2 linked regions of the Neurospora crassa OR74A genome follow. The protein of the gene in region 1 interacts with the protein of each later gene in a pairwise test. Links are inferred from orthologs where the notes say so. Each region holds a gene or a part of one and is shown on either strand. Other genes may lie near its edges.

What was found. The genes of interacting proteins can lie anywhere in the genome.
Region 2: the proteins of arg-12 (region 1) and aga-1 interact in binary tests that used the Saccharomyces cerevisiae proteins (3 or more experiments, as listed by UniProt). The link is inferred for Neurospora crassa OR74A from reciprocal best matches to the Saccharomyces cerevisiae genes ARG3 and CAR1.

Annotation. Positions count from the first base shown.
Region 1 is NC_026502.1:2,757,938-2,761,668, forward strand, and holds arg-12 (ornithine carbamoyltransferase), read left to right. Parts: upstream 1-1,211; 5' UTR 1,212-1,679; coding exon 1,680-2,039; intron 2,040-2,145; coding exon 2,146-2,832; intron 2,833-2,901; coding exon 2,902-3,012; 3' UTR 3,013-3,231; downstream 3,232-3,731. Other genes in the region: NCU01668 (hypothetical protein), read right to left, coding at 1-58; ilv-4 (acetolactate synthase small subunit), read right to left, coding at 3,414-3,594, 3,661-3,731.
Region 2 is NC_026507.1:2,873,338-2,877,342, reverse strand, and holds aga-1 (arginase), read left to right. Parts: upstream 1-1,374; 5' UTR 1,375-1,592; coding exon 1,593-1,772; intron 1,773-1,844; coding exon 1,845-2,428; intron 2,429-2,501; coding exon 2,502-2,814; 3' UTR 2,815-3,505; downstream 3,506-4,005.

The DNA of each region.
Region 1 (3,731 bases):
TGCTTGTCGACGCCGCGAGCAGAGGGGACCGCTCGGTTTCGAAGTCGGAAGACGACATGTCGAAATGATTGTGCTGGATTCGGTTCTCAAGCCCTCATGAATGAAGTGTAAAGACTGAAATGGGCAATGAGTGGATGAATGATCGCAGGCAGACGAGCAATGGTAGATTGCCGTGAAGCTTGGACGCTCCTGCGATAACGACAACGGACGAGTTAAACGGTCGGGTGTTGGCAGGGAGGTACCTCTAGATACTAGGTTGATCAAGGATAAGATGGACTGGTAGGCTAGAAGAACTCGATATAATGAACAATATGTCTAGGGAAATTGATGAGAATGAATCGAAGAAGTATAGTATGGACGATTTATACTGGAATGCTGTTGCAACAAAGCAGGACGGTTGGTGTTTCGGCGACGTTGAGATTGAAGTTGGGCTCGCAGCCGACACATCAAGTCTTCGGATATGGAGGTACCTAGATCACGAGCCATGCACTAACAACATGATGCGTGAGTTGGCACTATTCTACAGGCTGACAGTGCCTTCATGCAGTTAAGGTAGTGCTGCACCAAGACGGGACTACACCAAAATAGCGGCTTCTACACTAGTGTATGCCCACAAGGTTGCCCTGTGCGCGACCGGGATCAGCTTCCGCTTAGGATGATTGGTCCTGCCGTGCCTGCATGGCTCTTGGTTTGCGTGACCTCCGGCGCCGGAACACGGAAGGAAACTCTTTGCCCTCACCCTTCCGCGAGGTCGCGATGGGACCGGTGACCGGATGTGCCTGTTCCCCTCGTCGGTTGCATCCAAATTCCCAGTGGATGGATGATGGACGATTGAACGGCATGCCCCTGGGTGGGGCCGCAACCCCGAACTTGGAGAAGCCCAGTCCCGCCAGCGGGCTTGCCCAGAGGCTCCAGACACCCCACCGGCTTGTCCCGTCGTGGTGTGGAGTGAAGCTCAAGTAACCAACCATTAAACAAGCTCCAATTCGTCAGACCTGCATGTACCCGTCCCTCACACTAAGTCTAGGGTTCTTATCCTGAATGACACACCTCATGCTGAGCTCCATTGGCGGTTGGAGGCGGGAATCAGCTGTGGCTGGGCTATTTGATTGTGAGCGTGAAGGAACTGAGTATGTAAGACCGCTCAAAGAGAGAGAAAAAGATAAAAGCAAGAAGGATAAAATAAAGAGTTGGAAGACAAACGTGCAGATAGCCGGTATCGGTGCAGTTTCAAAATCAAATTGTTGTGCAATTCAACTCTTGGCTGTTATCTTTTGGCCCAAGAGACCTATTCCCTGCTACCAAGCTCATCCCCGTAAGGGCCCTCAACAGTGAGCTACTTAATCGTCTTGTTCCTTGACTGTGGGTTTTGCAGACTGGGAAGAGGCTATTCCGAAAGTCTGGGGCTGAAAAGAGAAAGGACGAAAGACCAGGGTACCTGTGAAGAGTCACGGTTCGCGAATTGATTCATGAAGGAAGTGGAAAGGGCCTTGATAAACACTACCTCCTAGTACTGCAGCTTTCCCCCCAGGGCCACTCTTCCTGGCTGACTCACTTTCCCACTTCTTTCACAACTCATCTCTCATTTCTTAAGATACCCCATTGCACTTTTTCTTCGTTTGACATTTCTCTCCTTCCTTGTCCTCACCAGATACCCGTCTCACCTCACCATCGCCATCATGATGTCCCGGGCAACTACTCGCACCATCAAGTCCGCTGTCGGACAAATCCAGGCTCGCTCTGTGTCCAACAGCGCCGCCAGCAGTACCCCCCGCCATCTTCTCTCCATCAGCCAGCTTAGCCCTGCCGAGTTCTCCAAGCTTGTCCTCAATGCTTCTGCTTACAAGCAGGCCACCAAGGCCGCCTTCGCTGCTGGCCCCGGCCAGGTACCCCGCACTTTGGACGGCAAGCTAAAGGGACGGACCGTGGCCATGATGTTCAGCAAGCGAAGCACCAGGACCCGTGTCTCGACCGAGGCCGCTGTGGCCCTCATGGGCGGCCACCCCATGTTCCTCGGCAAGGATGACATCCAACTGGGTGTAAGTGTTAACTACCGTCTCGGCTCCATCGTCCCTCCCCTTGCCTAAAGGAGACACATACATGCGCAACGACCAGCACCTCGATCGCTAACGACACTTTCCACAGGTCAACGAGTCTCTCTATGACACTTCCAAGGTCATCTCCTCCATGACCTCGTGCATGGTAGCCCGCGTCGGTCCTCACTCCGACGTCGCCGACCTCGCCAGGGACTCATCGGTACCTGTCATCAACGCCCTGTCCGATGACTTCCACCCGCTCCAGGCCATTGCCGACTTCCAGACCATCCACGAGGCTTTTGCCACCAAGCCCGCCCACGAGGCCAGCCTCGGACTCGAGGGCATGAAGGTCGCCTGGGTCGGCGACTCTAACAACGTACTTTTCGACATGGCTACCGCCTGCGTCATGCTGGGCGTCGACATTGCCGTCGCCTCGCCCGCCGGCTACGGCATTCCCGACCGCATGAAGCAGATCATCCTCAGCGTCGCCGAGGGCGTTGCCAAGCCCGGCAAGCTGATCGAGACTACGGTCCCCGAGGAGGCTGTCAAGGACGCTGATATCTTGGTTACCGATACCTGGGTGTCCATGGGTCAGGAGGCCGAGACCCAGAGGCGTCTCAAGGCGTTTGCCGGCTTCCAGATAACCAACGAGCTGGCTAAGCGTGGCGGCGCGAAGCCCGGCTGGAAGTTCATGCACTGCCTTCCTAGGCACCCTGAGGAGGTTGATGACGAGGTTTTCTATGGTCCTCAGTCCTTGGTCTTCCCCGAGCCGAAAATAGGCTCTGGGCTGCCGTCTGTAAGTGAAGCGATCTTATTCTGCCCCGCGGATGAAGCTTGAGCTAATCACGTTTGTGCTTTTACCTAGCTGCCCTTGAGGCTTTCGTCGTCAACAACGGTAGGATACTTTGAGCAGAAGCGATATGACAAGGTTTCTTTTGGTTGCATCTTGGTTCTATCCACTCTTCGTACATCGTAAGCATATCATGGCAGCAGTAAGGCAGGCGTTGTATTCCATGGGTTAAGGGGGTTTGGTTGGTTAATATAACCATATTCTCAGTTACACACAAAAGTTCTTGGCTTTTTTTTTTCCCTCCTTCACATCGGTTCGTCTTATTGTATTCTATCTAGACGGGTAATAAGACAAAAGAGAAACGACATAAAATGATGACAGATTTTTCGAGATGCTGCAAAAGGCTGATCAACTACTTTTCATGTGATTCTTGTAACGCCGCTGCAGCTATTAGAATAGACGAGGCACATGAAGACAATTCTGCAAAGTGCGAAAATAAGAGGACCAATTGACCAATCCGATCCACAACTCCTGGGTAAATCCTTTCCCATTTTTCCCCCATTCCTTTTGCACACACCATCCCACATTTAACCAGGGGGAAGCTGGCTAGCATCAACAACGTCATCGGCCTCCTTCACATGGGTCTCCTCGCCGTGCTCGTAGAGAGGAGAGCGGGGCAGGGCCATGAGACCAGTACGGGCGGACTCAAGAATGCCGAAGGGGGCAATGAGCTTGAGGAAAGAGTCGATTCTGACGGGCTTCGCGGAGCTGTGGAAGAGTGGTTAGTAAGTAAGCTTGACAGGGGCGCGAGACCAAAGGGTGAATCAAACTTACACTTCGACAATGCAGCTGTTAGTGCTAATATCCAATACCTTGCCGCCGAACTGGTGGGTGAAGTATGTGAT
Region 2 (4,005 bases), on another chromosome or scaffold:
CTCGAGCTTGCCGACTTCCGGTCCTGTCGTCGAAGGTGTCATGGCAAATGCCTGCATCCTGGGTAGAGGTTTTTTTTTGTGCTCGAAACCATCCTCTGACAGACCGGGGTATGGCCGGGACGGTCAATTGGACTGCTCGTATCCTGCCATGTGGGCCGGATAAATCAACTATGTGACATGATAAATCACCAAGGGCCACAGCATCAACTTTCTGCGACGGCAACTACCATTCGTGTACCAACTGAAGTCCTCACTCAAAGTCAAGGTTTCAATTGAAGACAACGAAAGAATAGATCGGTCTTTTTCAAAGCCCTCAGTTATCACGTTTATGCGGGACTATCGATATGTATTGCGGTGGTCCTTTGCGTCTTCGAGTTCCTGCTACCATACATCCCGTTTCTTACCATAATTCTCTTGAGTTGGCTCCCGGAATTGATCTTTCTAGACAATTCATCTATTGCTTTGGCCCTATGAGATCTGTTCCTGCTTTCGTTTCCTGATCTCTTTTCTCTTCTTCTGGAGGGGTAGTTATGGGGACGTCTTGTATCGTGAGACGGAGAACGGCGAACGCTGGTGGTTGAGCCGTCAAAGGAAGTCATGGCCCTCATTGGTTGCACTTTATCCACAATGGCGATTTATCATGGCGCATAGTCGAGTTATCTGGCCCGCCGCTTTGAGTCAGAAATGGGCAAAAATGGAGAATTGGAAGTTTTCTAGAACTTCAGATAACCTCCACTCGGACCTGTGGCAGCCATGAGACGATGGGCCTTGACCCTCGATGCCACCACTGGCGGGAATGCTCCTCCACAGACTCTCCGTCTCCAACCACCTGCTCTGCTTGGCCGGGCTGATCCCTCGCGATCGCTGCCACAAAGCTGACTCGGCTGACAAGCTTTGCTTCGAATGTCTTTGCTGTCAAACAGGATGCCCCTCCACTCTCTGATCAACCCCTCGTCGGCCCTCAAGCAAGGAGGCGCCATCAGGGCCCTCTTATTGGCGGCCTTGACACATGGCCAAGATCACCGTACGTAATACTGAATCCTACCCTCACCTTCTTCCACTGCCAGATGCCCAGATCTGCTCTTCGGCTCGGTGAGACAAGATGCAAAAATGCCAGGGTATTGTCGGATAGTACCGGCAATAGCCGTCATTTCCGACTTGTTGGAGCCTTGGGAACGGACTCCATCCCTCCTCGGGGCGGGATGAGGATAAAGTGATCCGTGGTCCGTGATTCGGATCCGTTCACGCCGAGACCAGTACCGGGGCATGAGCGGTGGGAATCTAGGCATGTCGAAACTTCCTTGCTAGGATGGAGAGGTCGGGAAGGTAGGTGAATATGTCATGGCGTGGGTTTCAGAAAAAAAAAGCTATCTGATTTCTCTTTTCTTTTTCTATTTGATTTGATTTCTCTTCTTCCTTCTCTCCTCAACAACTTCTCATTCTCTTTGTAACACCTACTACGTACTACACTACACTGCACTAGCCTTCTTCCGATCTTGGTCTTGTGAGATCTCTTTGGTTGCATCACTAGCTCTAGCCCTCGTCTACCCCCACTGCTACCCTACCTCTTCGGCACCATTCCTTCTTTGCTAATGTCTCCCTCCCTCGTCGATAACCACGCAGCGGCTTATATAGCTGCTCCCTCGTCCGCAAAGGCACCAATGATCCAAAAACCAGGCAACACTTTCGGCATGTCTTCCCCAATCGAGTCCAAGTTTCTCTCCCAGCCAAGGGACCTCGGCATTGTTGCCGTAGGCTTCTCCGGCGGCCAGGTATGTGATGCTCTTTATTTTTTTCTTTTTTTCTGACGCGTTTGGCATCCATTGACACGACCAAAATTCTAGTGCAAGCCTGGTGTCGACGCCGCCCCCTCCGCCCTCATCGAGTCCGGCCTTCTCACCCAGCTCCGCGAAGAGCTTGGCTACAGGCTGCACGGCGATGACGAGGTGCACCTCTACACTGACCTCGTTCCCAAGGAGGACCCGCCTCACCGCAACATGAAGAACCCGCGCGCCGTCTCCAACGTGACCAAGCGCATTGCTGAGCAGGTCCACTCGCACGCCAAGGAGGGTCGCCTGGTCCTCACTCTCGGTGGTGACCACAGCATTGCCATTGGCACCATTGCCGGCTCGGCCAAGGCCATCAAGGAGCGCCTGGGACGCGAGATTGCCGTGATCTGGGTCGATGCCCACGCCGACATCAATACCCCCGAGACCAGCGGCAGCGGCAACATCCACGGCATGCCCGTCAGCTTCCTCACAGGCTTGGCGAGCGAGGACAAGGAGGAGTTCTTTGGCTGGCTGAAGCCCGACCACCTCCTCAGTGTCAAGAAGCTGGTCTACATTGGCCTCCGCGATGTCGACCCGGGTGAGAAGCGCATCCTCAGGGAGAACGGAATCAAGGCGTTCAGCATGCACGACATTGACAAGTAAGCCTAGTCCCCGATGAATGACATGAGTATACCCGGAGCATCTTGCTAATCATTACCCCTTTCGTATCAGGCACGGCATCGGTCGCGTCATGGAGATGGCCCTCGGCCACATCGGCAACGACACCCCTATCCACCTTTCGTTCGACGTCGATGCGCTCGATCCCATGTGGGCTCCCTCCACGGGAACCCCGGTCCGTGGCGGTCTCACTCTCCGCGAGGGCGACTTCATCTGCGAGTGTGTGCACGAAACGGGAAGCCTTGTCGCTGTCGATCTTGTCGAGGTCAACCCTACCTTGGCGGCTCCCAACGACGTTGGCGCACACGAGACTGTTCGCGCTGGTTGCTCCTTGGTCAGGTGCGCTCTCGGCGAAAGCCTTCTATGAGTGTGACACCTGTCCAAAGGGTAGTCAATGGCGGCAGTAAAGGCAATATTTAGGGGGTGAAGAAGAGAAGGGGGGCAGATGAAGAGCCGAACACAGGGAGGCCGCAGCAACGCGGCGTTTTTTTTTTTTACATATACGACATAACAGGACAAATAACGGCAGCATAATGATGTCTCCTATAGATATGGGATGGGACGTCAGGTGTTTTAGGATACCATTGGGGGAATACTTTTGTCTTTTTTCTTTCTTTCTCAAGAGCTAGCCTGTACATAGACGGCTTTCTTGCGGGCCTGGCCAGTCTTTGGAAGTCAGCCCGGGATTTGATGTCTTTGATCATGGAGAGCATACATCGATCCCCTTTGAAACGCAAAAGAACTTTTATTTGCGCTTCTACTTTGTTGGCTCCATCTCTGTCGTTGTCTGTCTTTGAACAATGAAGCTATTGCAGTTTCTCTGCACTCTACACCCCCAATTATGCTGCACAGACATTTAACTCGCAGATGGCCGACATCGGACTCTTCGGTCGGGCACCGCACCATTTTAAGCAGCATGTCAACGGCGCCGCCACTGCAGTGTCCGGGCTCCTGCGCCGAAATAACATGACTGAGCATCCAACGACGAGTGTGCGAAAAGGTAAAAACACTGAGGCGGGAGGTTATCTTCAGTTCCTCGCTGCAATGGCGCGTCTCATCCCTCCCACCTCAAAGATCGGACGGACCTAGTGTGCTGTTGTGGTCCTTCATTATCGATAACGCTGCCCCTCCAGACGGAAGCCAAGCCAAGTCTCTTTTTAAGCGCCGAGATCACCGTTCCCGTCCGCTGTCACTGCGCTGCCCTGCCGCTGTTCCGAACGATGGAGCCCTTGACAACTCAGTGATCACTTTCGAGTTTTGACAGACAGACGAAACTGGGGACTGAGGTCGGTGGAAGGTTTCATAGCTGCATATATCATGTATATCTGGAATATTATGTGTCATGGATGCAGGCCAACAATAACATCCATCTTCATCCCCTCCCAGCCTGCTGAATTTAGTTGTGATTCGGCTCGCTAAAGTCTCCCAGCCACGGGAAACCGGCCGTAGCAAGTTTCGATTTCTACCCCACTGTCGTACCAGGCAGGCTGGCTGCAAGGTCCCAGACTCACAGGACAACAACAGCAACACCATCGTCGACGACTTCAACAATAGCTTT